Linked DNA regions of Cricetulus griseus. The protein of the gene in region 7 interacts with the protein of the main gene of each other region in a pairwise test. Links are inferred from orthologs where the notes say so. Each region holds a gene or a part of one and is shown on either strand. Other genes may lie near its edges.

The links.
Region 1: the proteins of Creb5 (region 7) and Spry1 interact in binary tests that used the Homo sapiens proteins (3 or more experiments, as listed by UniProt). The two-hybrid records come from large-scale screens. The link is inferred for Cricetulus griseus from reciprocal best matches to the Homo sapiens genes CREB5 and SPRY1.
Region 2: the proteins of Creb5 (region 7) and Fosl1 interact in binary tests that used the Homo sapiens proteins (3 or more experiments, as listed by UniProt). The two-hybrid records come from large-scale screens. The link is inferred for Cricetulus griseus from reciprocal best matches to the Homo sapiens genes CREB5 and FOSL1.
Region 3: the proteins of Creb5 (region 7) and Fosl2 interact in binary tests that used the Homo sapiens proteins (3 or more experiments, as listed by UniProt). The two-hybrid records come from large-scale screens. The link is inferred for Cricetulus griseus from reciprocal best matches to the Homo sapiens genes CREB5 and FOSL2.
Region 4: the proteins of Creb5 (region 7) and Efemp2 interact in binary tests that used the Homo sapiens proteins (3 or more experiments, as listed by UniProt). The two-hybrid records come from large-scale screens. The link is inferred for Cricetulus griseus from reciprocal best matches to the Homo sapiens genes CREB5 and EFEMP2.
Region 5: the proteins of Creb5 (region 7) and Rbpms interact in binary tests that used the Homo sapiens proteins (3 or more experiments, as listed by UniProt). The two-hybrid records come from large-scale screens. The link is inferred for Cricetulus griseus from reciprocal best matches to the Homo sapiens genes CREB5 and RBPMS.
Region 6: the proteins of Creb5 (region 7) and Kifc3 interact in binary tests that used the Homo sapiens proteins (3 or more experiments, as listed by UniProt). The two-hybrid records come from large-scale screens. The link is inferred for Cricetulus griseus from reciprocal best matches to the Homo sapiens genes CREB5 and KIFC3.

The regions. Positions count from the first base shown.
Region 1 is NW_023276806.1:112,081,566-112,085,683, forward strand, and holds the start of Spry1 (protein sprouty homolog 1), read right to left. Parts: upstream 2,801-4,118; 5' UTR 2,560-2,800; intron 1,943-2,559; exon of another isoform or gene 1,833-1,942; intron 132-1,832; 5' UTR 77-131; coding exon 1-76. UniProt on the Homo sapiens protein: Inhibits fibroblast growth factor (FGF)-induced retinal lens fiber differentiation, probably by inhibiting FGF-mediated phosphorylation of ERK1/2. Inhibits TGFB-induced epithelial-to-mesenchymal transition in lens epithelial cells.
Region 2 is NC_048596.1:53,891,461-53,895,437, reverse strand, and holds the start of Fosl1 (fos-related antigen 1), read left to right. Parts: upstream 1-1,177; 5' UTR 1,178-1,424; coding exon 1,425-1,529; intron 1,530-3,662; coding exon 3,663-3,860; intron 3,861-3,977.
Region 3 is NC_048600.1:12,335,997-12,340,208, forward strand, and holds the start of Fosl2 (fos-related antigen 2), read right to left. Parts: upstream 2,801-4,212; 5' UTR 1,950-2,800; coding exon 1,848-1,949; intron 1,617-1,847; exon of another isoform or gene 901-1,616; coding exon of another isoform or gene 844-900; intron 1-843.
Region 4 is NC_048596.1:53,864,090-53,868,045, reverse strand, and holds the start of Efemp2 (EGF-containing fibulin-like extracellular matrix protein 2 precursor), read left to right. Parts: upstream 1-1,156; 5' UTR 1,157-1,446; coding exon 1,447-1,557; intron 1,558-1,793; coding exon 1,794-1,842; intron 1,843-2,459; coding exon 2,460-2,666; intron 2,667-3,956. UniProt on the Homo sapiens protein: Plays a crucial role in elastic fiber formation in tissue, and in the formation of ultrastructural connections between elastic laminae and smooth muscle cells in the aorta, therefore participates in terminal differentiation and maturation of smooth muscle cell (SMC) and in the mechanical properties and wall integrity maintenance of the aorta.
Region 5 is NW_023276807.1:50,883,351-50,887,584, reverse strand, and holds the start of Rbpms (RNA-binding protein with multiple splicing), read right to left. Parts: upstream 2,801-4,234; 5' UTR 2,503-2,800; coding exon 2,437-2,502; intron 1-2,436.
Region 6 is NC_048596.1:171,330,985-171,334,484, forward strand, and holds part of Kifc3 (kinesin-like protein KIFC3), read right to left. Parts: intron 589-3,500; coding exon 450-588; intron 1-449. UniProt on the Homo sapiens protein: Minus-end microtubule-dependent motor protein. Involved in apically targeted transport. Required for zonula adherens maintenance.
Region 7 is NC_048601.1:87,957,354-87,961,352, forward strand, and holds the start of Creb5 (cyclic AMP-responsive element-binding protein 5), read right to left. Parts: upstream 2,801-3,999; 5' UTR 2,789-2,800; coding exon 2,735-2,788; intron 1-2,734. UniProt on the Homo sapiens protein: Binds to the cAMP response element and activates transcription.

The DNA.
Region 1 (4,118 bases), on a different chromosome or scaffold from region 7:
TCTGACGGCCTTCCAGAGGCGGTGGCTGAATCACCACTAGGGAAGTGTGGCTGCCATGCTGACTTGGGGGATCCATGTGGAGTGATCTCCGGTTCCGGCAGTCAGCAGAAACCTGGCATGCATCGGAAATCCTAAAGAAGAGTGAGAGAGAAAATAAATGAGAAAGCATTTTGGGGAGGGGGGCGCCTGTAAGTAACAAATTGCCCAAACCACCTGGCAATGATCGCCTCCATCGGCTGATTTCAATGATGCAGAATCCTGGCAGGAGTCCAACTCCAAAAACAAGGATTGTGGAGGGCCACATCACAGGAAGAAAGCAAGCAAGACCTCATGCCACAAAAATTAGAAGTTGCTCTCCAGCTTCTAAAAAGCAGAGGAAGTCATGTCTTCCTGTTTGCAAACCTAACAAATAATTAAAATGAAATATGCCTTCGAAGGGAGCATTCAGTGCGCGCCCTGGAACTGTTCTCAGAGAGTTCACTATCAGTTCACTGGCAGTTCACGTAAGGAAAATGTCAGCTACTTTTTAAAGATTAAGAATGGCTTTAGTGCTGTGGCCTCTTGGCCATTTGTTCGCTGTTAAGAGCTTTAGATTAATGAGAAAATTAATCAAGGCAATTTCCAAAACACTGGATATTCCAAGCTCACGTGAATCTCAATAGGCCGTTTTGGGCACAAGTCCGGATCTAAAGCTCATCTGTGAGATGAGAAAAAGAATCTACAAGGAATGGAGAAGGCAGCGGCTCTAGCTGTCTTGCTGGCGCTAGAGCATGCACACAAACTCTGGATAGAAGGTTCTTTAAAGGTTAAACAAGGCTCACTCACCAACATGAATAACTTCTATGCACAAGTGTCAAACCTACAGAGCAGGGAGAGGAGCCCTAGTCTCTGCATTATCTTTATTTCCTTTCATTCATCTACACCACAGACCTTGATTTTCAACAAGCCCTGAATCGAGCTGCTTTTTGTAATAAGGTAAACACACTAATATCTCGTCACAACAAACACGTTTTCACGTCAAGAAATAATTTACAATTTATAATGCATTCGTCCTAAAACAGAGCAAAAGTTGACTTTCCCGTTTCCGGGCAGTAGGTATCTAGGATATTTTTCACACAAATGCTCTCCAAACCCACAGATGCACCCTAATTCAAGACGGCACTTGAATTAGGTGCCAAAAGAAAACAAAACGTCTCAAGGAAAAGCAGTTTGCTACGGATGCTCCTAGACTACATGTTTAGCTTCTTGGGGGCCCCTCTAGTTTATTCTACCTTCCCCAAACACGAGAAACACATCTGTAACAGCACGTCTTAGTACCGAACCCCTAAATGACAATGGGAAACAGCCAGTCGTTACTCCCGTGCCCTATCTATTTTAAAAAACTTAAAACTCCAAAACGAAGACTTTAAATGTGCCAAGTTTCATCCACAAGAAAGGAAGACGTGGGAATGGCTTGAGTAATGAAACCCCCAGGCATAGCTTTAATTCGCATTTTACAGGGCATTCCCAAGCAAGTTCGCTCTGGCGGAGCACCTCGGCGCCCGCACCCGCCCGGAGAGCAGCCGGGTGCGCGCGGACAATTCTGTGAGCCCGCACATAGGCCTCAGGGACACCGAGCCGCAGCGGCTCGGGCTGGGGAAAGTTATGAATGAAAACAGCTCGCGGGCGGGAGGAGGCAGCGCCCTCTCCCCGCGTCGCGAGGCACTGCGCTCCGAGCATAGGCGGCCGCTGGCTCCCCAGCGCCATCGGGTGCCGCGCGCTTGGCACGGGCTGCGCGACGACCGCCAGGATCGCCCGGCCCGCCCCGGCCCGCACCTGCCGCCCGCACTCACCTCGGCCTCCGCGGCGCCGGCCCGGGGCGCCGAACGGGCGGGATGCGCGCCGCATCAAGCGCGGCGGGGCGGCCGGGCGCTCATAGCCCGCGCTGCGGCCTCGGCGGCCCCGGGGCAGGGGCGCTTCTCCGCGGTTGGCGGCGGCCGAGGGCGGCTCCGGGACATCCGCCGGGTGCGCGCGGCGCCCGCTCCACAGCACCGTCCCGTCCCGGTCGTCAGGCGCGCGGCCCGGCGTCGTCCCGGGCGCTCGGGTCCCCGCAGGTCCGCGTCCCCGCAGTCGCCACGCCGGCTGCAGACGAGCAGAGACAGAAACACGTGAGTCCCTCGCCAGCCCGGGACGCTGTCCTCCTCGCGGTGATGGGCAGCCACGAGCCCGGGACACACGCGGCCGTGCACGTTTTGCCCCCACGGAATGCCCTGCAGTGAAAAGCGCGTCCGAACGGCGCGTCTGCTCGCGGCAAGCCCGCACTCGGGGACTGCAAAGTCAGGTCTGGCACGAGCGCCCGGCGGCTCGGTCGCCAACAATGCGCACAGACACGCGGGTGCGCGGCGATGCCAGCCCGCGTCCGCACACGCGGAACTCGCTGCCCGGCTACGGGAAAGCGAAAGGAGCCAGCTCTCCAGCTGCAGGGCCGGGCGCCCAGCGCGGGGCACCAAGCTAGAGCCAGATCCGAAAACGTCCGGTCCTTGAAAAAAAAAAAAAAAAAAAAAAAAGCACCATTCTCACCTGATCTCGCCAGGTCCTGGGCGGGAGGGCAAGGCTCTTGCCTAGTGCAGAGCCCGGGGCCGGCCTTCCCGGCACATGCACGTCGCGCGCAGCTGCTTCTTAGCCCGCAGAGCTCTGGCTGCGGGGCCGCCGCAAACTCCTGCGTGCTGAGCACTCGCGCGCGGGCTCCGCAGCATTTCAGCGTCGCCGCCACCTCCACCTCCACGCTGGGACCCGCCCCCGGTGATATCATGTGTCAATCACGCGGGCTGAGCCAAAACCCGGAGCAGGATTTTAGCGATCGTGGATGTGGACTCGAGGACGCTCCGAAAAAACTGCCTCTGAGCTCAACTGGGCAGCAACACATGTTCCAGGGCCCCTGATAGTCAGTGAGCTGTCAGCCTCCGATTTAAGGAAACCGATGCGTTCACCCTTATGAGTTAGAAAAGAGTTGTGAAGAACAGTAGGCAAAAACAAAACAACAACAACAACAAAAACACTTGTACACCTCTCCACCGTGCCCCAGGGAAAATGTGTGCTGATACAGTATGAAAGTTCCCGAAAGGACAGTCACTTTTGCAAATGTAATATAATGATCCACAGCAGGAAATCCCTCCTGCTGTGGGATTTTAGTGATTGTTCCGTTTCGGTTTATGGTATGATCCCAAAAATTACTCGGAAAAAAAAAAAAAAAACAAACCCAAGTAAGTCCTTGCTATTTTGTAATGTTTGTATAATTTTGTCAAAAAAACACAAACTTTTTTTTAATCAACAAAAAGCAAGTAAAATAAGAATAACTCATGAAGAAGCTTTAGTTTTAGTTACATGTCTGTCACAGGGTAGGGGGACTCTAGTAAGTGGGGAATGCTTTTTGTTTCCTTACAAACTCTGGGATTTTGGACATTTATTATTGGGATGATGTAGCTCAGGACAAAGTGAAAAGAACTATATGTGGAACTAAAAATTCCATAGAGGGTTTTTAAAATAACCTAAGACCCCAAAAATTGTTAATAGGAAATATTTTCCCAGGGAACTGTATCAGGAATAGTTTTGATAAACAACAGATCTCCAGGGTCTAAATCATCCATCAATGTGAGTTTGGATGTTTTGGGCTCAAAGTAGTTTTTTAAAGTGTTAACAATAACAGCAGGTTTTTTTTTTAAAAGCTTTTTGTTGATGTTGGTTTTTGCATACTTCATTTTCAAGTATCTAAATGCTTTTAGAACTCACAGTTGTGTGTGGAATTGCATGGGAGACATCCAGGACACTCCTGCAAAGAACATCCTCCATAAGAAAGGCCACTAGAGGATAATAGAACATTCTAGAAGCCAGGAAGCTAGCTGTCTGTTCACCTTCATGCTAGGAAATGTGTTAAAGTCATAGTTTCAAATGTAAAGCTGGTGGGGCTTTTGTATCTTGTCTATTTTCCCACAGAGGTAGCAATGTAATAAGGCCTGACAGCTGTGGATCTGTTTCTTAGGACTGGATTGGAAGGGTCCAATCGCTAATGCAGTATCATACCAGAGTATCTTTTTTGGCACTTCTCAGTTGTCTGCATAAATTTAGCAGGGAGGTCAGTG
Region 2 (3,977 bases), on a different chromosome or scaffold from region 7:
AAGCCGAGAAGGGAAGCTTTGGCAGCCTGACATTCTACATGTATGTACAGTGTGAGGGCTCAAAGCTATGATGGCCTGACTTGGTCACCAGACTCAGCCACTTACTCAGTGGTGGCCTTAGGCAACTCATTTCAATAGCTGTCAACCTTAGTTTTCCCCATCTGTAAAGTGGGGGTTATGATGGCACCTATCTCCCCAGCACATTTGGCCAGGGCCTCACCCTCACAAAGACCTTTCACATACTTTCAAAGAAGGTTGGTGACACACACAGTCCTGGAGGAGTGCCTCCAGTCAAGAAGCCTCATTGATTGCATCTCAGGACACTTGTGTCCCTCTGTAGGCTCTCTCTGCCTGTAGAGACTTAGATTAAAACTTGTGATAGCTCTGGAGTCTCCAGACACAATTATAGTGCTTTCTATCTGTGGGTACACTAAGTGAATTTCACTTAGTGTTAAAATCTAAGAACATTTTTGTAACCCTGGTTTGTCACTTACTCACTTTTTAGTCTATCAGAGGCCTTGACACCAGTTGAAACGGGGTGTGGTAGCACATGCCTGTAATATCTGCCCTCCACTCCGGAGGTGAAGGCAAACACCAGCAGTTCTAGGCTATCCTAAGACACAGAAGGTAAAGACCAACCTGGGCTACCTGAGACTCTATGTAAAAAAAAAAAAAAAAAAAAAAAAAAAAAGCCAGGCATGATGGTGGCACATTCCAGCACCAGAGAGGCCAGCCTAAGTTACCAGAGACCCTGCCTTAACCAATCTCCCTCAACAAACAACAAAGTAAACTCTAATCAAACAAACTTCCCACCCGGATTCCAGAGGAGTGGCCTTAAACCAGGACGGCTGACTTGGGTGACAGTGCCAGGCAAATAATGATGACAGCAATAATCCATCATATTTATAATTCACTTCAACAGTTTCCTGCTAGTTTTCCCGTTCTTCTATCGGCTACATGATTGTTTCGCCCTGTTTTATGGCGCTGGGAGCCTTGGCTAGTCCAGACGGGGCGGGGCGCAGCTGCAAGCCCCAACCTCAGCTAGGTGCGTCAGGGGGAATCCTCGCTGTACCTGGGCGCGGCGAGGAAATTGCACCATGTATGGGCAGCTGCGTCAGAGGGGGCGGGGCCACCGCAGAGGCTAGGGGACGCCAAGTAGGTCGCTTTCCCTCGGCAGAGGCGGCTGGCCACCAAGTCAGGGGGTCGTGAGGTTCCGTGCGGACCAGCCCACAGCGGCTCATTCGGAGAGGTGGGTCCCCCTCGGAGAGGTGAAAGGCTCCGCTGCGACACGCCCCCACCCCCCGCGGTGCAAGTGGTTCAGCCCGACAACTTTTCATTCATAAAAAAGACAAGACTCCGCGAGGCTCCAGTGAGTCAGAACCGCAGCCGCCGACGCGGACCCCACCGAGCATCCAGCCCAGGGCATGTACCGAGACTTCGGGGAACCGGGACCGAGCTCCGGGGCCGGCAGCGCGTACGGTCGCCCCGCGCAGCCCCCGCAGGCTCAGGCGCAGACCGCCCAGCATCAGGTGAGGCTGGCCGGACCCCGGAGGGGGACCTGGGTTTGGACAGCGTTGGGGATGCTGGAGTTAGTCTGGTTTGCTCCGGGACTGGGACCGGAACCCCGAGCAGCGTCCGCGCGACAGAGGATCCTGCACGTTCTGCGCTGTCCAGGAACCGGTGTCCCCCGTGGCCAGGGGGACAGGCGCAGCGGGAGGAGCGAAGATCTACGAGTCCCCCTTCTCGCCCGCCCGCATCTCCCTAGCTGACTGTCAACCTACCCCTCTGTCTCCGTTACGGTCTTTATTTCCTTTTGTCTACCCCTAAATAGTGTCCCACCTGCCCCAACCCAAAACTGAGCTGGATCAGAGGAGCGCTCCATCTCCAGCTTAGTAACCGGGACCTGGAGCTTGGGCACAGGGGAGATTTGGGGGAGGGGGGTTCATTAGAACTCGGCCGGGACAGCGAATCCTTAGCAGTCTGTCTGCGGCTAAGTACGAGTGTCGCTTCCAATTTGTTCCTCTGCCTGGTCAAGTCCACATCCTTTTGAACGCAGTGGAGTCCCGGGGGCCTCAGGCAGTGGCTCTGAGGGGTTCCTGGAGACTGACTACACTCTCTAAGCCAAATGGAGACCACGAAGTGTCGGGACATGCTCCGGGTCATCCACCAGGCCACTCTCGCGCCCCTTACTCTAAGCACCCGACGGTTCCCACTACTGGCCAGGGACACTTGAGAGGTTGCAGGTGCCCATTTCCTGTCGAGGGACCACGAGCACGTGTTGCCAGGGGAGGGAAGGAGCTGCGTCCGTTCCGCCGAGTCACAGCGAACCGAGTCACTGTGGCTGAGTCACCCTGGGTGCCCCTCCCTTCCTGGCCCCAAACGCCCTGGGACCGACGACCTGGGAGCGGGAGATGCCCCTAGCGATGCTTCTAGCCCAGAACTGGGGTCACTGAGCTACTGTGTCCCCCAGTACTGGGCTGAGGACATAGCCGTCCAGGCTTGCCTAGGCATGTGAGGTGTTTCCTGGACGGAAGGGAGCCCACACCCTTAGCTCACAGGGCTTAAACCCAGTCTGTGCCCCAGAACACTCACACACACCCAGACCTCACCCCTCATCCTCCCCACCCCTCCCCCCAATCCCAACACATGCCTCAGATTTCTGGCAGAAAAAGAACTAAAGAATGCCAGGCCTCCTATGAAGGGCTTTTCATCTCTTCACCTTATTTTGTACTTAAAAACCCCATCACTTTTGAGCCTCCAGAATCTTAAATAGACAATTGGGCATGCCTTTAATCCCAGTATTCAGGAGGTGGAGGCAGAGGCAGGCCAATTTCTGGGAGTTCAAGACAAATTTGGTACAAAGCTACATAATAGAGGGATCCTGTTTCTAAAATTAAAAAAAAAATTAAAGCCGATTAAACATGGTTTCTGAGCTAGCAGAGCCAGCTTCTCAGCAGCAGTGAAATGTTGCATGATATTAAGAACAAGGAAACTGAAGAAACATTGGGGCTAAATAACTGGTTCCAGTCACAAAGCCAGTAAATGGCTGAGCTGATGCTTGAGACATAGCCCTTGTTCATCATATTGGACACCTGACTCTATTGCACATTCTAAGCCACGTGGGCTGCTGTATAGTCTCAGTGCTTGGGAGGTGGGGGCAGGAGGGTCAAGAGTTTGAGTCTAGCCTGAGCTCCATGAGATCCAGTCCCCCAACAACAACAAACTCCCTTACCTAATTCTCAGAGTTGCACCCATCCTCTGTTGTGAGGATGGGTGCAAGAAAGAGTGAGAAAAGCCAGCCATTTGGGCTCAAATCTCAGTTTCTACTTGCTGGCTGTAGGTCTGTGGTCAACTGTTATCCTGTCTGAAAATGGAGATACGATTGTACCCACTGTATGAGTCATTCTTTATAAAGTAGTTGGGAACAGGGACAGTTCACACTTGGTAAGAATTATCTCTGATGGGGACAAACAGAGGTAAAGAGACACTTTGTGACCTGCCCAAAGTCACACAGTTCATGAACAAGTTTCTGATTGCCCAATTGTGTTCCTTGTGGTCTCCCAAAGCCAGTATCCGCATTGAGAGGAGACAGAAGTATAGCCTGTGTCTCTTGAAAGCCCCTCAATTTGCCTCATCACTGACCCCCTGTTCTTATTCCTCAGAAGTTCCACCTTGTGCCAAGCATCAATGCTGTGAGTGGCAGCCAGGAATTGCAGTGGATGGTGCAGCCTCATTTCCTGGGACCCAGTGGCTATCCCCGACCTCTGGCCTATCCCCAGTACAGTCCCCCTCAGCCCCGGCCAGGAGTCATACGAGCCCTAGGGCCACCTCCAGGGGTGCGTCGTAGGCCCTGTGAGCAGGTAAGGAAGAGAGGTGTTGCACTTTCAATAGCCCTTAGGGGTCCTAGGAGGCAGGGGACAGGATCGTGCTAGGAGAGAACTTCCATTGCCCATAGGAGTCCCTGGGAGGCTAAGAAA
Region 3 (4,212 bases), on a different chromosome or scaffold from region 7:
CCTGAGGATCCCATGTATTGGTTGTTGCTAATTGCAAAATCCTCATGTGTTACAGCATGCTAGGAATTAGCTAACAGCTGCTTTTTGCTTCGGTAATGAGGCCCCATTACACACTGCTGGACGGAGCTCTGTCTTCCTTCGTCCTAGCATTGGTTTCCTGTCTGATTTGCTTCCAAAACAAGGAATTGCCTCTGCTCATATCCTGGGCTCAAAGCCCTAGTGACACAGATTATTCAGTTGGGGCACTGATGTCCGGTCTGACTTCCCATCCAGGCCCCAGAGTTTGAGCCAAGCACCAGGCAGGGAGATTGCACTGTGTCACTGGTCAATGGCTCCATCTCATTAGTGAAAGAAACAGAAATACAAAGCTCCAATGTTGGCTGGGGAAAGAGAGGGAGGTGGGGTGGGGTGGGGTGGGGTTATTGAACTAGAAAGTCCGGGGACAGGTATAAAGTGAATGATGTTTTGGTTCAACACAAATCACCCACTGGGCTGGGATGCAAACATAACCAATGACTTTTTAGATAAGCCTTAAAACTCATCACTTCAGTAGTAAGGGTCCATTGACTGCACCCTCTGTGAAGACCAGGCTCTCTACAGTAGGTGCTTAGCAGGTATGTAGGGATTAGAGAGAAGACACAGAAAAGCCATTTGGAGGGACTCACTCGACATGGGGCATTACTTTGAGAGAGGTGCTCCTCTTTTTCGGATTACAAAGAAAGACATGTTTTTACTATATTTCCCAGCTCAGTCCATCTTTCCCTGGAAGCGCCCCCCCCCCATCGGGTTGACTGCTGGAGGCCAAAGCCAAGGCCATAGCCATGGCCTTATGGAGTAACTCACGCTGCTGCAGCCAACTTGGCTAGGAACTCCAGAGGGCTTCGGGCGGCAGAGGACCATGTAAGCTCATGCAGTTCCCTCATGAGACAGTGTGTGTGCTACACAAGTCAGGTACCCCACCAGCACCACCACTTCACCAGTACCCGTTTGGTATCCTACAGACACACGGAGTGCGGGCAGAATCCCTCCAATGGAAACCAGTCTGCCTGCTTTAGAAACAAGTTGTTTTTCTACTTCTAAAACCACTACTCAGGAGCCCAAGTGATGTCTCGTTCTCCCTCTTCTTTCTGCCAGCTTCTTTGCCCCAGGTATCCCCAAGCCCCCCAAGGTTCTGCTCTCCGGGACAGTACAGGTTCCTGCCCAACCCTCACCGGAAGCTGGGAGGGGGGTGAGCACAAGAGGTGTCAAGAGCCAATCAAAGCCAGCTTCTTCCTTCCTGACCTTCGCACCTGATTCCCAGAGGCAACCCTAGCCCTCCCTCCGGATCACTTGAAGGAGCCCAACCGTATTTCTGAGTCCCCAACCCATTTCAGAAAGCTGCTAAGACCGAAGGAAAACAGAAAAAGGAAAGGCTAAAAGGCCTTCGTTGTATGGTCTTTGACGATTGGGAGGGGACTTAGGAGGCGCAAAGATTTCCTTGTCTATCCACCACCGAGAAAGGGGAAGGTGGAAAAGGAGGGGAGAGCGTTCGGAAGGAGGCAACAGGCTTCCAAGAGGGGACCAACAATTCCAGAAGCTTTTCTGGAATAAAGTGAGAGAAGCCGGAGAGGGGGGTTGTTATTGGCTCTTTAAGCCCACTCTCCGCTTGTTTAAAAAAAAAAAAAAAGTGGTGGGGTGGGTGGGGCGGAACAGAACAAAACCCCACAACTTATCAACGGTGGCCCCTAAGTATTTTTCTAGCCCAGCCAAGGAAGGGTAAAGACGGAGGTTGGGGATGGAGGCAGTGAGAGCGAGGAGAGGGCAAGGAGTCAGCCGGTGCCGCCAGGTGCACCCGGGCCCGCACGTACCTGCTGGCCGCCGCCACCGCTGGAGTAGGACTCGGCGTGCGCAGGAGAGCCGCTGCTGCCCCGGGACGAGGTGTCAAAGTTCCCGGGATAATCCTGGTACATGATCCGCGGTGGGGGCCGGAGAGGAAACAGGGTGGTTTTCTTCCCCGCCCTCGCCGCGGCCGCGCAGTCTGCTGCGCGCTCGCTGGTCCACCGGCCCCGCCGCGGGCTGGGCTCTTGGCTCCGGGGCTGTCCCCCAACCGAGGCAGACAGGGAGGCGGCGACACTCGGGAAGTGATCCCCCGATCGCCGCGCACCGCACTTCGTTTCTGCTCTGCAAGCTCCGCGGAACCGGCTGTCCACCGGGTCCCTCCCTCTAAAAAGTCGGCGCGTCCCTCGGTCCCTCCCCTGCGCGCGCCCTTCCGCCCCCGCGCGCAGCCGGAGCTCCGCCGGGACCCACGGGCTGGATCAAAAATGGGCAACGCAAAAAAGACTAGGAGCCCAGCGGGTGTTGCTTGGCAGCTCTGGGGGACTCCCTCCCCAATCTCACAGGGCGCCAAAAAGGCGAAAAAGAAAAGCTGCCGGTTGGGAGAAACTTCTGTTTCCTCCTTTTAGAAAAGGAGCCCGAGAATAAACTTCCTGTGGCCAACTCGCCGCCTGAGTTTCCCGGCGACTCGGACACTTGACTTAGGACAAGGCAGTGAGCGCCTGTCCAGCTGCCCGGATCGCGCCGGCGGGACAGTGCCCGTGGGGTTCCAGGCTGAGCAGTGCTAAGAGGGACGTGGCTCCGCGTCGCAGTGACCTGCACCCGGTGTCCGCTCCAGGACGAGCTGGCCTCGAGCGTCTTGCCTCGCTTCGCCCTCCCTCTCTCTCTTTCTCCCCCTTTCTCGCTCTCTCTCTCTCTCTCTCTCTCTCTCTCTCTCAGTCCCTGCCGAGCGCAGCTCGCTGTCTCGCTTCAAGCCCCTGCGTTCTGCCCGAGATGAGTCACTACAATGGCACGAGTTCAACTCCACACTCTTTATTCTCCAGCCCCGCACCATGTGGATCGACTCACGTCAACGCTAGACTCCACCTTGCTGGGAGGAGCTCTCGAGGCGGCGGGGGAGGAGGCCCGGGACCAGGAGGAGGAGGAGGAAGAGGCGCGGGAGGGGAGGAGGCGGGCACGGCGCTCCCCTCCCAGCCCTGCTCGCGGTCACGCTGACGCCAGCCGCACACCCCGCGCAAGAAAGGCGGGTGGTGGTGAGGGTGGGAGCGTGCGGCCCTGGCACTTTGGGGGCGCCGAGGCCGCTTGAGTTCTTGCCGAGCTCCTCCACCCCCCGGGGCGCAGCGCCCTTGGTCTGTTCCATTGGCGCACGTTGCCAAAGATGGTCATTTGCGTTAGAGGACGCGAGTGCGGGTTTCCTCGCTTTCGGGTGACGTGGAGGGAGAGGGATTCCCTTGCCCGCTCCCAAGCGCGCACCCACCATCCCCACCCCAAAAGAAAGGGGCGCGGGGCGGGGCCCCGAAAGCGGCCTCGCGGGCTCGGGCCCCGGGTTTTAGAAAACAATCGCAGCCCTGAAGCCGAGACGGGTGGCTCAGTGCGGCGCCACAGCGAGGCCCAGAGCCCGGCGCTCAGAGCCGCTCGCGGGGAGGGCGCGGCCGTGCGCAGTCGTCCGCACCCTCCGCGGCGCCGCCCGGTACAGCAGGCGTCCTGGACGCACCGGGCACCCGCGCCGCCCTGCGGCCGGGTCTTGGCGGGGTGCGGCACGGCGCCGCCAGGCGGGGCTGGCCTGCCCATTTCCCCCTCGGAGCCTGGCTGCCCACTGCTTCCCTTTTGTATGTGTGTGCTCTTGGGTTTTTTGTTTGTTTGTTTGTTTTTGTTTTTTATTTTGACCTTCCAATTAATTTGCTAGAAGTGCTATTGAAGATGAAACTAGCTAGCGAGACATTGCGGGAGTCCCCTGTGCTAGACAATTTGGTCGCATCTAATAGCAGCAACCAGGCCTTAAAAGCAAACCAAGCTGTTCAAACAAACAAACTGGGGGGCCGAGAGATGTACCCCAAGTTGCCTTGAGCTGTTTTGGAGCAAAGTTCAGGGCACGCGTGGCCGGACTCCTGGCTCTTCCCGCCTTGCTGGGCGGGGTGGTGCACAGGGTAAAGAGCGCAGGCCTTGGAGTATGAACGCCTGGCCATGCTATTTACGAGCTGTGAGATCTTGGGCGAGTCTGCAGTCTCAATTTCCTTCTGTATAATGAAAGGTTTGGAGCGGACGACCTTCTGAAGCTCTTGTCTGCTCCGGACTTCCAATCATCCTAAGAGAAGGTACCATGCTAAGTGTTGTACCAGGAGTTGAGGAACTCTTTCTTTTGAGGCTCAGGTAGCACAGGCTGTCCCCGAACTCCGTATA
Region 4 (3,956 bases), on a different chromosome or scaffold from region 7:
AGGCAAGAGGCAGGTGGATCTACATAGTGAGTTCCAGGACAGCCAGAACTACTTGTGAGAACCTGTCTCGAAAAGATAAAACAAAGAAAGAAAGACTGGAAAGAGGTTGGGTAAGGGAAAGGAAGGTCAGGCTATTGCCGTAACCAGCAAGGGCCAGGCAAGGGAACCCTGGACACGCAGTCCTTTCCCGTCTAGTCCCGCCCTGAGACGTGGGCAACGCGAAGTCCCGCCCATTCGCCCCTTCCTGGGAGCCGGAGGCACACCGGCTCCTCCCTCAAGGCATGATCTTTGCTGGGGACCAAGACGGAAACTGGGTGGGGGACCTGAAGGGAAAGAGGGTCGGAAAAGGGCTGGCAGTGGGCCCTAGTGTCCTCTGCGCCCAAGTTCAAGTTTGCCAGTTTCTCGGGGGTTCCATTCATTTCGGGCCAAGACGACAGCTGCCCTCACCCCCACATTAGCGTAGCTTTGTGCAGGCAGGCTCCGGGGAAGCAGTGCCCTGAGTAGAGCGACCACCTGGAGGCCGCGGAGCTCATGGCCGGAGGGAGAGGGACAATTAACTTTATGTCCGGAAACCTTGGATGAATGTTTGAGACCATCTAACTGATGATGTGGGGAGCACAGGATAAAATTCTGCAAGTAGTAGGATTTGGAGGTTTGAGAAAATAAGTGGCGAGTAGGTTCTGAGAGGCGCAGATTCAGGGTCTGGGTGTTTAGCTACAGCTGAGGTGCGAGTGCACACTCAGGGATTCTAGAGGACCAGGTTGGATAGGGTCTAGGTGGCTAGGACAACATTTTGAATGAGGGCCCGGGGTCCCCAGGTGAATTTGGGGGCCAAACATCAAGGTCAGTGGCCCCGGGACCCAAGCGTTAGGGAACTCTGGCTGGGCGCCCGCAGGCGCCTCCAGGCGGCGCCGCGGGGGACCGGGTGGGGGCCTGTGGCCGGCCCGGGGTGGAGAAGCCGGGGGGTCGGGGTCCCTCCCCCTGGCGCGGGCTCAGGAATCCGCCGAAGGGCGGGCGGAGGCGCCGGGGTGGGCCGCGGCGGGCGGGCGGGCGGGCGGGCGGGCGGGCGGGGGCGCTTCCTGGGGCCGCGCGTCCAGCGAGCTGCGCGGTCCGGTCCGTCCGTCCGCCCGCAGGCACTGCCGGAGTCAACGAGTGAGTGGCCGCCAGCGGAGGGAGGGCGCGGGCCGTGTCGCGGCCGGGTCCGCGCTACGCCAAGCCGAGAGGCCTGCGCTCCACGACTCGCGGGGCGGGGGCGGGGCGGTCCGGGATTGCGGGCCTGCGAGCCCCAGGCCTGCGAAAGGACTCGGCCCCCAACTCTGGAAGGCTCCGGTGCTCCCAGCACAGTTCTGAGACAGCCGGGAATCCAGTGTCCCCTTCCTGATACAGGGAATGGGGGGTGTCGTGGCAGAGGCCCCTGACCCCTGCCCACTACCTCCCAGCCCCAGGATGCTCCCTTTTGCCTCCTGCCTTCCCGGGTCTTTACTGCTCTGGGCGCTCCTGCTGTTGCTCTTGGGAGCAGCGTCTCCACAGGATTCGGAAGAGCCGGACAGCTACACGGTGGGGACCAGCTTGGGATGGGATGGGATGGGATGGGATGGGATGGGATGGGATGGGATGGGAAGGACCAGGATCTTGGGGTGCCTGGGGAAGACTCTCCTCTGCTTGGTTGGTGGAAGACTGGGAGTCATTGTGTGAATTGACCCGAGCATAACTGAGCTCAGGCCCTGGCCTTGTTCTGGCTAGTTGGAGGAGACTTCCAGAGTGGTCACTGGCCACTTGGGGTCCCCTTCCAGGAATGTACAGATGGCTATGAGTGGGACGCAGACAGCCAGCACTGCCGGGGTGAGTATGCCTGGGATACTAGCCATTTTCAGGAACTGGGAAGGCAACTATTGTTTCCCAGGGATAACCTGGCTCCTAGACCAGCTGCAGGAACCTAATGGCCTTTTCACTGTCCAGCTTGGCTGAGCCAAAGCCAGCCACTCAATTAGGAGTCCTACCCCTTCAAGAAGTGCAATGAACTCTGCCTCTATTTGCAGTAGACAGGAGAGCACCTGGTGACTGCCCAGAGAAACGGAGATCTGCACACCTTCCGCCAACTGCCCTCTACTCTCCTAGCCCAGCTCTTTATCCCAGTGCAACCTGGGAGAGCAGTACACACTCTGTGGGTTTGGAGGCCTGCAAATTACTCTGGGGCAGAGGTAGAGGCAGGGTTTTGAGGAGGAATGGAAACTCACTTGGAGGCAGGAGAATAGGGACAACGGCGAAAATAGGTGGCCCTATCCCCAGTCCTGCAAATCACTGGGAGGGGTTCTGGGTCATCAGCCTTAATTTGCTGAGCAGAGAGAAAACCTTGCTCTGTTGCTCAGCTTAGAGAAGGCCAAGCTGGGATTCTGCCTCCCACTACCTCCAGGGCCAGCCCAGGTGACTGGCTGTGCCCAGCAGGCCCCTTTCTGCAGATGTCAACGAGTGCCTGACCATCCCCGAGGCCTGCAAGGGCGAAATGAAATGCATCAACCACTATGGGGGCTATTTGTGTCTGCCTCGATCTGCGGCTGTCATTAATGATCTACATGGCGAAGGCCCTCCACCACCAGTGCCCCCTGCTCAACACCCCAATCCTTGCCCACCAGGCTATGAACCTGATGAACAGGAGAGCTGTGTGGGTAAGTGGGAGCCATGCTGGCTGGCACCAATGCTTCCAGACCTCTTACATGTCTTTTTAAAATTAATTTTGTATTTAGTGTATAAAGTAAAAAGAAAAGTAAAAACCAAAAGAAAACAAAGGGGGGCGCTGGAGAGATGGCTTAGAGGTAAAGAGCACTGGCTGCTCTTCCAGAGGACCTGGGTTCAATTCCCAGCAACCACATGGTGGCTCACAACTGTCTGTAATTCTAATTCAGGGGACCTGGTACCCATGGCAAAACACCAATGCACATAAAATAAAAAAGTAAATTTAAAAATAAATAAAAGAAGCAAAGTGAAAGTTTTTAAAATCATGGTATCATTCTCCTGACACACTTCATATTTGTTCTCTCTCATTGTCCCTCCCTAGCACCTTGTTCTTCGAGATAGGATTTCTCTGTGTAGCCCTGGCTGTCCTGGAACTCACTCTGTAGTCCAGGTTGGCCTAGAACTTAGAGATCTGCCTGCCTCTGACTCCCTAGTGCTGAGTGCTGGGACTAAAGGTGTGTGCCACCACTGCAGGACTGTGTACTTTGTTTTTTGAGACAGAGTCTCTGGGTTTGATCCCCAGCACACACTTGTAATCCCACCACCAGGGAGGTAGAGAAAAGAAGATTGGAAGTTAAAGGTTACCTCAGTTGCATAAGGAGTTTGAGGCCACCCTGAGCTACATGAGAGCCTATCTCAAAAGCAGTAACTAACATAAATAAAGTAATTTTCCACACTAAATACCGCAGACCTCATGTTCCTTCCTTGCTGAGAGAAGCCTCTGGCTCCTCAGAGAAACATCTGAACCCTCACCTGCAGCAGGCCTGGTGCATGGTCTGCTGGCCCAGGAAGTCCCCAGCAGCTCCCTCACTTCCTGTGCAGACATGCTAGAGCTCTGCTCCCAGCCTCTTGCCAGCTCTTTATCAGGTCTCGGCCTTGGAAACCGCTGGCTTTGGAGGAGGGAAGATCCTGGTCTAGAGTCAGCTGAGGGTGTGAATGGACAACGCCTCATTTATTTTTAAGCCAGTTCTAGCTGGCTTGGAACTCTATAGCTCTGGCTGGCTTGGAACTCAGAGGGATCCTCCTGCTTCTGCCTCCTGGGTGTTAGAATTAAAAGTGTGTGCCACCAGACCTGACAAGGCCTTGTTTTATATGCTCAGCTAATGGGTGCTTTTCCTGGTGGACTGTTTTCTTGTGCTGTTGGGAGGACCTATATCCTATCTTCATATTTTGGTGCCAGCTACCCATGTGCCCATGTGAATGAAGTCTGGTGTGAGCCACCT
Region 5 (4,234 bases), on a different chromosome or scaffold from region 7:
ACAAGCACATTAAGGGGACTCACCAAATACTGTATTTATTTTACTTGTGGCTTCCAGGGTTATTGGGGGGGCAGGGCGGGGGGGGGGGGGAGCCTAGGAGTTTTCAAAAACCAAGCAGACACAAAGAAGAGAGAATTATAAAATAAAACTACCTGGGACACTGACAATTTTCTTTCCCTGCATTTCTTTTGTGCTAGCCAGGTGTGATGGCAAATGCCTCAATCCCAGGACTCTTAGGCAGGAATTCAAGTTCAAAGCCTGACTGTGTGACTTGGGAAACCCTATTTCTAAACAAAAAAATAGAGTAGCTAGTGATAAGAACTCACAGGCGGATCTCTGTGAGTTCGAGACCAGCCTGGTTTCCAGAGCGAGTGCCAGGATCCGCTCCAAAGCTACACAGAGAAACCCTGTCTCGAAAAAAAAAAAAAAAAAAGCTTGTCTGGCTTTTTCATTTCTTAGTACTGGGGTGGGGGTGGAGGGGTGGACACTACATTTTTCATGGAGTATGTATTATACATTCCCACTAGTGCACAACTTGAGCTCTGCAATCTTCCTACTCCTCTTATTGCTTAAATAACAAATGTTTTGCTAAAAAAGATAAACACAACTTCTAGAATCACATGCCATTCCTACCTGACAAAAAACACTCAGTGCAACGCAGCAAAATCAGGCAGATGACTGCACCAACATGGTCCATTACCAGATGTGATCACCCCGAGGGGGCCTTAGCACTGGAAACATCTGCAGCTAAGATGATCAAGAGAAAAACTGACTTGCCATAATATTTAGGCAAGTGGGCATGGGATTTGGAGACAAACCTATTGTTACCTACCAAAACCTTAAAAAAAATAAAACTTGGGGGTTTGTTGTTTCCCAAAATCATTTTAAAAGGACCAAACTTTGGTGTTCTTGTTGCTGTCATGAGCTTTGTCCCAGCTGCAACTTTTCTGAACCGGATGAAGGGAAGAAAGATGGTTTTAGAGGATCCATCCTTGCAGGGATAAGGGTACTGTGGATCTGAAATGAGTTATTACCTCACTGTGTTCATTAAAGCATGCTAAATTCCCAGCAATTTTTTTTAAAAAGCAAACGGGCATCATTTTTTAATGTTTAACTTGTCAGGAAATAAACTGAGAAGCAGCGGGAACTTGCAGCTGGCTCCCTGGGCTCTGGCGTTATAAATCGGTATAAACAAAACTTCTCAAACCAACACTTGCTGATGAAATAGGTAATTTCTTCAGGTGGGGACGCAGTTGTCAGGTTTCTTCAATTCCCTTAACCCTAAGGTGCACTACCCTAACAACTGTGGTGAGTAAAATCTTACTCTCCGTTGTTTTGCATAAGTTTAGGTCTCTTCTGTCTTCCCCATTTAAACAGTTCCCATTTTACCAGTGGAGAGTTTACATAGGTCAGAGAGATGGGTGGATGGATGAACTCTTTCCTAATGTTTGGTTTCAGTCACGGTATCTTAGTTTGCACACGGTGAGAATGTCTCAACATTCTCACCATCCTAACCGCTTCAGAGTCAGTTTACGTTGTGTTCATCCTCCTCATTAGGATGTAATTTACCTGTAAGAACACTTTTTATGAAACAGTGGGTTGGGCCGTGTCTGCTTCTACACACTCAATTTTGGGAGACCTTAAACAGATAAATACAGTTTCTTGGACCTCCAGGTAAACCACCAGCAGGAGTGAAAGTCCGGGCCTGACACCACAAAACTGACAAAATTCTTAAGTCCCATGCACGCTCCATTCACCCATATTACTCAAGTGTTTTCAGTAAGAAACGCACCACAGCCGCAAATCGTTTTTAATCATCATTCCGAGTGTGCCACATAAAGTTGTGATTTTCTATGAAAACACCCTCCATGCGCCTTTGCTTTGGGGAACCCAAAGCTTTTAGCCCTTGTTAGTCTACCTCTCCCCCCACCCCCATTCCACATCGCCCAGGTTCGGCAGGGGTCTTCGACTCATCAGGGAAGAATGCGGCTGATGAGTTATCTATTAATCCAAAATGTCTCAGCTAGGAAGATATTTCACCCAGTACTTTTAACACCGAAAGGGAGGGAGAGGAGCTGGGGTTGGAATTATCTTTTAACAAGAACTTTCCCAGAGTTTCTTCCTTCAACCATGCCTCCCTCCGATTTCCAGCAGCAGCCGCAGAACCCAAATCTTGACCCTCCCCCGATCCCAATCATCTGAGGTCACCCGGGAGTCAGCTCTCGATTCCGCTTTTAACATCCCGGGTAGACAAAGCTGAGCATTCTACTTAAAAAAAAGTCTAGGGAAAGTCCTACAAAGTTATGCAATGGGAGGCATGCGGACGCGCGTGGACGCAGCCCCGCGCCTCGGGACGCCGCGTCCCGTGGGGCACAGCCCCCCCCCGGCGCGCGCACCCCATGCGCCCCGAGCCCCGTAGCAGGCCCCCCTCGGTACCTCCTCCTCCTGAAGGTTGGCCTCGCTCGGAGTGTTCTCCTTTTCGGCTTTGCCTCCGCCGTTCATCTTCCCGGTCCTTAGTCGCCGCGCGGGGCTGGGGCGCGGGGCTGAGGCGAGGGCGCGCTCGCCCGCTTGCTACCTTCCCCCGGGCGGACGGGCGAGCAGGCGAGCTGCGGGGCTGGAGCCGGACGGCGCTGCGGGGAGCCGGGGCGGGCGGGGAACCTCCGAGAGGCCGGGCGAGCCCCGTAGTCCGGACGCGGCCGAGGCGGAGGAGGCGAGGCGGCGGGCGCGGTTGGGACCGGAGCCGCCGAGGGCGCGCTGCTGGCAGGCTCTGGGCAGCGGGGCCGCACGCAGCGCGCTTTCTCTCGCTTTCCACCCTCCTCCCCTCCTCTCCCCTCCCTTCCCTCCCCTCCCCTCCTCCCTCCGCCCTCCCTGGACGTGAGCGGCCGGCCGCAGCCCTGAGGGACGCTGCTCAGGACCGCGAAGCCCCCCGCGGGAGGAGGGGCACTGGGCGGAGCGGTCGACCCCAGGGCCTGGCTCCGTTGGGGTGTGTGTGGGGGGGGGATGTCACCGGGGTCACGAGGCCGAGGGGACGGCGGGAGGAAGATCGGGTCCGCCCTCTCTCTCTCTCTCTCCAGACCCCGCGGCCTCGGCGTCGGTGCGGGCCGGTGTGCGTGGACTTAAGAGAGGGGTCGCGGGCTGGAGACCAAGCCTGCTGGGGGGTGCACGGAGGGGGGACTGGGGCGTGCTACTTTTTGTTTCCATGCTTTTCTCGACGGATGTGCACCCCAACCCACCCCTCCTTGGCAGTACCCGCTGAGACTCGGTTCTTCCCCCGCCGAGAGGTGACAGGCACGGGGGACAGCCCACCACCGAACCCCGCTTTTGCAGGACACGGCTTGCAACCCCAGCGCCAGCGCCGGAGTCCAGCGATCCCTCCCTAGCCTTCCCGCACGCCCGCTATCACTCTCCAAGGCTTCCGGCCGCCCCTGTTCAGACTCGCACAGCCGGTACCAGACTGTTCTGGAATCGTTTTGTTTACTTCACTCTTTGGGGAGCCCCTTCCTGGAATACAAGACCGTGCCCGGTTTATCTTTGTCACCCCGCCACTACTTAAGTAGGCTACCTGGAGCATAGTAGGCAGGCACTGGATATCTTATTTGTTGGCTGAGTGTCCCTCACTGCCCCTTAAAGGTCAGGACATTTATCTGGAGAATCAAAGCAATTGCCCAACCCCGGGATGACCGCGTAGCTTCCGTTTCCTCATCGGAGAAATGGGAGAAAATATATATACATATATCCCAGGGTTTTCGAGATTATAGATGGGGCAAGCCCAACCCTCCTCTCCCAGCCCTTGTTCTTGCACCATTATGGTTTACAATAGGCGGAAGCTAGCATTATTAAGGAAGTTTCCATTTTCCTGGTCCTACAGGACTTTTCCAACAATAGATCCGTAAACTTCTTTGACTAGTTTGGACAGACATTTAAGACCCCCACTATCAATGGGGTGTGCTTGTCTCTCCGAGGAAGTTTGTCTGGCATGCCGCACCAATCACTTCTCATTTATGTCTTGGTTTAACTGTTTATCTCTTTCTCCACACTCGACATTCTTTACCCTTTCTGCTTTGAGTGCTGTTGGGGTGGGGTGGAGGCGGGGTGGGGGTGGGGTGGGAGCTGAAGATAAGGGCCCTGCCTTTAGGCAGTTGAAAGTGGTGTTGTGGAGACAAGATACCCCAAACAACTCCAAGGCAACATAATCGCTGAATCCTGGTTCAAATTATAAAAAAGCAAGCTTCAC
Region 6 (3,500 bases), on a different chromosome or scaffold from region 7:
AGACTGGCCTCTGCAGCAGGCACCAGTGGCGTCTGGGAGGCTGCTCCTGGGCCCTACTTTAGATGGGTGCTTGGAAAAGACAAAAAGAAGGGAAACCCAACCCCAGCCTCCAGTGGCCAAGGTCTCTTATCACTGGGTGGAGCCCTGGTGGCCCTGGGACAAGGGGCAGGACAAGAAAGAGGACAGATACATAGCTGTCCCTGGATCTGGATCTGGATCTGGATCTGGAGGAGGCTGTCTAGGGTCTCAAGTTCATGTCAGGTGGCCAGACTGGTTGAACCACCTCCAGCTGTGGGGCAGAATACCATACAGCTGGGACCCCACTCCATCCTGCACCAGCTCAGCCAGGTGTCCTGCACCAACTCAGCCAGGTGTCCTGTACCAGCTCAGCCAGGTGTCCTGCCAGGTGTGCAGCCAGGTGTGCTGATGGTGGGGCTGACCTCCTTTACCTGTGTTTTCTACATTCATGGTGCCACCAGCTTCTGGGGCCTCCCGGTCCCGCTTGGGGGCCGGCGCCTGCCTCTTCAGGAGCTTGTCTTCTTTCGTCCCCTGACTCTTGCTCTTGCACCCCTTGTCCTGCAGGGCCTGCTGCCAAGACACAACCAGAATCCTCTCATGAAGGGTACTGTGCTGAGGAGGGACCCTCGCTGGGGATGATGAGCACTCTGGTCCCCGGCCCAGCAGCTTGTCTCCACCGTGGACAAAGAAGCCTGCCTGGGATCTGAGGAAGCCAGACTAACATCCCACAGGAAGATGGCCATGGTTTATTCTTGGGCCCCACAGTAGCCAGTCTCTCTACCAGTAAAAAAAAAGATTAGAAGATTCTATGGTCCCCTAGTGAAGCTGGTGCTATCCCTGCAGGCTCTGTGGGGCACGGGTCATCGGCATGTGAGCAACTGGCTCACACCAAGCCTCATCATCACAGGCAACTATCCAGTCCTGCAATATACACATCATGTCGTGTATAGAAGGCAACTCCTCTGTAGTGTCATTTGCTGCAACACCTTGGCAGTCGGCCTTCCACCTAAGGATGGCCCTCCCAGGACTCAGAGGCTGCACATGAGTCCATCTGACCAGGAAAATGACTACCCTGCCTCCTTCAGGCTCTGTCCCATGAGGCTATCCAGGGGCAATGTGAACCCATGTGCTGGTCAGGAACTGAGGCAAAGGTAGCTGGGCTGGAGCGGACAAGTGGGGGAGTGGGAAAGGGGTGCTTCATTCAAAGACATCCTCTGTAGCCCCCAGAGAATGACACCGAGCAAGGGTCAGAACAGTGTGGGAAAGCGTGATCCCATTTGAGGGTCATACACAAGATAAAGGTGAAAATGAAACTGGAGATCTCACAGGCTCCGTGTGTGCTCAGTGTGGGGTGTACATACACAGAGACTCACTGAGATAGAAACAAAAGCAATTTAAACTTGGAGAACACAGGAGAAAAGGCAAGGTGATGAGCAGACAGGGTCTTCCTGGTCATTCTGGAGACATCTGGGGTTTGAAGTTTTCACCTTATAAACACAGTTGGGTTTGGTTTATGTCCACGGAAACATCTGGTAAGAAGCTTTTATGTCTTTGTGCCCTCTCAAGTCAAGTATGACTCTTTTATATACACAGGGTCTCACTCTGTAGCCCTGGCTGCCTGGATCTTACAGAGATCTATCTGCCTCTGCCTCTGCCTCCTCACTACTGGGATTTAAGGTTTCTGCCAACACTCTAGGCCAGGTGCCACATACATTTCTTTAATGCTCAGGGTAGTAGGGAAGCCAAAGCCCAATGAGACAGCATGTCACCTGTGTGCTGGGTGGCTGTGGACAAATTCTGCACCCTCCCTCAGTTTCCTTCCACAGTCTCAATCTAGAACCACTAACCTCTGCCCACTTGTGCCAGTGGGCAAACCAATGGCAGCCACAAGTAAAGCACATTTAAGGTGCCTGGCCTACAAGAAGTGCCACATAGATAGCAGTGGTGAGTTTATAATTTCTCTAGTCTCCACTTACTTGAGCATCAAAAGGCCAATCAAGAGAATTGCAAGAGTGAAAAGTGGCCGGGGCAGGTGCCTGGTTAGCCACGACCTTAGCCTCTTTCCCCCTCATCTTCGTATTTAGGAAAATTCTACTTAGTTAAATTTTGTCCCCACCCTTCAACTGTCACACCATCTTGAGCAGGTTGGAGGAGGTGGGGGAGGCAGGGATGGCAGCAGCTGGAAGTTTCCATTTGCCTTCAGACAGGAGCAAAGTTTACACTATTTCTGGGCTGCTGGCCGAAGCACAGGAAGGACAGATGTCCCCAGGGGCTGGGAATTTCTGTACTGCCTCTGGGGGTACAGCTCAGGCTTTAGCTGATGGACCAAGGCTGGAGTGACTGACTCTGTGACCTGCAGGTCGCTTCACTGTGCTTGGGACACACTTTGTTACATATCCATATCCATAAACATGGCAGAGTTCGGCAGGGGCCGGAAGGACATGAACTTGGAAGCCAGAGGCTATCAGCTTCTGAGTGGAATGTGAGCAGAACTGCTGAGCCCAGGCCTCCATAGCAGCCACAGCCCAGCACCCCATAATCAAAGCTCAAGAACAGGGCCACCACCCAGCTGAGCTGCAGCTCCTCACCACAGCCTCCCGATTTAACTTCCCTCTGGTTTCTTTAACTGTTGTCTCACCAGACCCTCTGGGACCTCACAAAGGACAAAAGTATGGGCAGCTCAGCTCCCAGAAGAATCTCACAAGAATAAAGAAACACGGTGAAACACAGGCTGTGGCTGAGGTGCCATCGCCCTTGGGGTCCTGCCCAGAGCAGTGGCCCAGGGCTGCAGCAGCCAGAGGAAGGACAGCTCAAAGGTGTATGTTCCCCCAGTGCCCATCCTGACTACCATCTATCTGCACTTGCTTCATCCCGGCTATGCACAGCGGCCACTTAGGAGGGCAGGATATGTGCATGAGGCCAAAGAAGCTGGGAGAAAAGCCAGGCATGGTGGCTTATGCCTCCTACCACAGCATGTGGGAACATGAGGCAGCAGTATCTGCCATTGGGTTCCACACCAGCCAAGGCTACACAGGGAATCCCTGTCTAACAAATATAAAGAAAGAAGCCAGAGGGATTTTGAGTCCTCTCTCAGGGAAATCTGGGCAACACCCCCAGATAACACTGGCACTTCATTCTCTAAAGTTTTGTTCCTGGTATTCCCATTGGTGCTTATGCATTTGAGGTCACTGGTGACTCTCTGGTGGGCTATCTTCCCTATTTCCCTTCTCATCATCCCTGCACCTGTGCTAGATGCATTGGCATAAGGCAGCCAATCCATAAATATCTGTTCAGCAAATGCACATATTAAAATACTAATGCAGGAGGACTGAAGAGACCACTTAGCAGGTAAGGGCATTGGCTGTTCTTCCAGAGGACTCAGGTTCAATTCCCAGTACCCACATGGTGGCTCACGACCATCAGTAACTCCAGTCTGAGAAGATCCAATACACTCTTCAGGCCTCCACAGGCAGCAGATGTAC
Region 7 (3,999 bases):
AAATACTTGACCCCAAAAGTCAACCATGCTCAGTTCCCTCAGACTTTGCATGCGACTTGGCAAATTCTCCCTCTGTCCCCTCCTGGCTCAAGTTAACTGAGGATGTCCACGGCCCCACAGGATTCTTTGTACCCTCTATCTCCTTGGCACTGCTCCTTCAAGCTCTCCTACTCTTTCCTGCCCCCTCATTGGTTTCTCCCTCTTGACTAAATTTACCCTGGCTATCCTTTAGCAGACTGCCATTAGATCACTCTGCTTCAGCACTGCCTCCTGCTCCTGAAAGGCTCCTCTATGCCATCACTTCAGCTCCCTTGCCACCCACTCACTCATTAATCCCTTCCAATCAGGCCTCCACCCTCTGCTCTCTCCCATGTCTCCTGCAAGCAACTAACTGCCAAACCCAACAGCCTTTGCTCCGCCTTCCAACAATCCCAGCTCCAACAGTGTAGGACAGCAGTGACTACACGTCTATGGAGTTGATTTATTTATACCCTGTCTGACTGCATGCAGCAAGGGAAATGTGGCTTAGAGCAAGGCCTGAAATAGAGTGGGAGAGCATCAGTTAGAAGCTGGGGATCCATAACAGAAGGGGTACATAAGAGCAAGGCTAAACCCCAATGAAACCAACAGCATTGTCAACCAGAACAAGTGTGACCCTAGAGGACATCTGGAAACATGAAGATCTTTCGGTTGTCACAGCTGAGGAGTGCTTTTGAGGTCTGGTGGGTTGAGACAGGGATGCTGTCAAACACTCTACAATACACAATAGTGCCCACATCAAAGCGTCACTTGGCCTTAGATGTTAATAATGCCAAGTTTGGGATAGTGTGTGTGGTACAGGTACTTATGAATCTCTCTCCTGTCTGACTTTCATGAATCCCACCTATGGCTAGAAGCTCTTTACTGGCATTCTAACCCTGGATATACCTGAGAATCCCAACCTAGCCTGACCCCTCATTTTGTTGTTGTTCCATAGAGAAGCCTTCCAATTACCCCAGTAAAGTGAGTTCCCCAGTGTGGTCTGTTGCTTCTTTATGAAAAAAATTGCAATCAACTAGTTAGTCCATAATTTTATCATATGACTATATATCTGATGCCCAGACCAGAAGGTCTGTGAGAGCAGAGACATGTGTGTGTTGGAGTAGTGTGGTTTTCAAGAAGCAGCTAGAATGCCTAGACACACACAGGTAGGTACCTAGAAAGTGTCTAGGTGGCTTGTAGTAAATGAAGCGTAATGTCTATTGTCAGAGCCAAGCAAAGGAAACCCCTCCAAGTGTCTGAGCTCCTTTAGACAAGGAGGCTTCCCTTTGAAGAAACTGAGGGGGAGTTCTGTTTTAGTTAGGAGCCAGGTTTGAATTTAGTACAGAGATACTCTGCATTTACCATGAGAAGCCCTTGTCTGCATTTACCATGAGAAGTCCTTGTCTACATTTACCATGAGAAGCCCTTGTCTACATTTACCATGAGAAGTCCTTGTCTACCAGGATTTTCCCAGTTACCAAGCAACCTGTCCACATTCCTCTAGTATTTCCTGCTTCATAATGGCTTTCAAAATCAGTTTGCTCCAAAATATTTTTGTCTACTCCTTTTCTTGTTCACAGGTTACAAAGAAATATTGGCACAAAAACCTCTGATGAAAATTCCAGACTCTGGGTGCTCAACAGCTGATAACATCAGTGACAATATTTTATGTTTCTGTGACTTTGTCCCTCCAAATCTTCTCCTCAAATTCTCCCAGAATCCTCCACAAACTCTGGCAAACTATAAGAAGGGTATTCATCTTACTCCTAACTGACCTTAGACACTGCCCCACATAAGACTACCAACCTTATCGGATGAACTGGTGGGTGTGGGCCTTGGTTTCCTTGAAGGTACAGGAAAATTAGGGAGTGAATGCCATCTTCCTCCACATTAGCAAAATGCGTATGCTCAGACTCTGAAATGTGTCCTATATCCCATAAAATAAAGGTCCTGGTATAAAAACTACAATTCTAACATATCAAAATTCCTAGAACATGGTACTACCCAAAGATGGACTCTTGAGTCATGAGCAGAAAAAGTCATCTTCAAGTTTTAAAAATAAAACATAAAATTTGAATTTCATGTAATAAATATGGGATCTAATATAACAGATTTAGCAGCAGCACTAGTGATAACAAGAGTGGGTATTAACTGAACATTTACTATGTTCATGCCCTATAATAAACATTTGAAGAGAGTTATCAGAGGCCCTCAGATTCAATCCTTCATGTGAACATATCCTCTTCTCTTAAAAATTCTATGCCCAAGAACTGTAGTTTGAGAACAGTCATAGTGGTATTCTTTTCCTCAAAAAGGATCCAGAATCCAACTCACAACTACGAGGCATCTCATCAAAAAAACAAAACAAAACAAAAAAACCTCAGTATGTATGCAATCGGCTGCTGTGAAGAACACACCACCTTCCCCTTTCTGAATGACTGCCCAGCGGAAATGGTGGGCACGGAGCATCTGGCTTGCTTCCGGAGGAAGTTACTCATAGGGATGTCAACATTGCTGCCTTTCGGGATAAAGGGGAAGTATTTCAAACTATAAAGTGTGATCTAGCGTTAGTGAGGATGAGAATCATGATGCTGATGATCAGGGATACTTTGAAAAGTATTTCAGCTAAGAAAGAAAATCCAATGGACATGGCGGCTCAAATGAGCGATGCCGTCCCAGGGGAAGGCAGAAGCATGAGGACCCGCATACTCACCTGGGAGCAGCCCGGAGCACTGCAGACAAACGGCCTCTCCTGCTCCAAGTTCATCTTGGATTCCTCATAAATCTGAAGGATTAAAGGAAAACAGAAAGCCATGAATAACGCCCTCTTCTGCTTCAGATGCATGAGAAAGGCAATCATTGGGAGCCTTCTATAGCCATTCCCCAAAATGAGCAAGTTACAGACGAGCATGGTGATAACGGCCCTGTTTCCGGTTTATTGTTTCTCTCCACTTAAGTTCATAGAGTGCTATCTTTAGTGCATATTAAAGAAAAAGGTATATCGATGCTAGAACCTAACGCCTACCTCTGGAAAGCTGGCTGATGGCTGCTATTGCCAGGCAAGACCTCAACTTCTCAGCAAGATTCCAAGGCAAAGTACACCCCCACTCCCCACCCTGACCCTCGCAGTCCTATGAGAACTTAGAAACTGGCTGCTCGGGATAGCCAGAAGGAAAACTTCAGTTCGGGTAAAAATTGAGCATGGTTACAATCACCTTTACAAATGACCCTGAATACCAATAAAAAGTGTGGTCCTCATGACTCTCTGATTAGCACACCTGTTGCTGTTGGCTTTGTTTCTTTTTAATGACCGGAAGGACCATGCAAATTTCTGTTACATTATTTAGATGATTTTCTAAATACTTTTAAACCAATTTTAGATTTGTATATATGTATTACATGTGCTTTTAATGGCACGTGGGTCTATTGCTGAGTTTTAAACCCTACTGCCTTAATCCTGAGCACAGGGAGGAATCTGTTTCTTTAAAATGCTGCCTGTGGGTGATTCCAAAAGGAAGACAGTGCCAGCTTGCATCATGGAGGAGTCCCACTTTGCAAACACATCTAATTTGTACATGTTACATCCTCTTTCCCAAACACTATTCTTTAGGAAAATACATGCACCCTCTCTCTTTTCTAAAATGTAAAGTGAGGATGTTTACCTTAGATAGCATTGCCAGTCAGACACTAAAACACAGAACTGAAAACAGAGAAATAATGTAAACCCTCTCCCAACTGTAATTTCCCCATTGGCATGCATTTTCAACTAAGCAAAGCCTCACTCATTCCCATAGGACAGTGGTTCTCAACCTTTGGATTGAAGCTCCTGTGAGGGGTCAACTGACCCTTTCACAGGGTCACATATTAGATATCCGAATATGAGATTCATAACATCAGTAGAAAAATTACAGCTATGAAGTAGCAACAAAATTAATGTTATGTTTGGAGGTCACCACAACATGAGGAACTGTGTTAAAG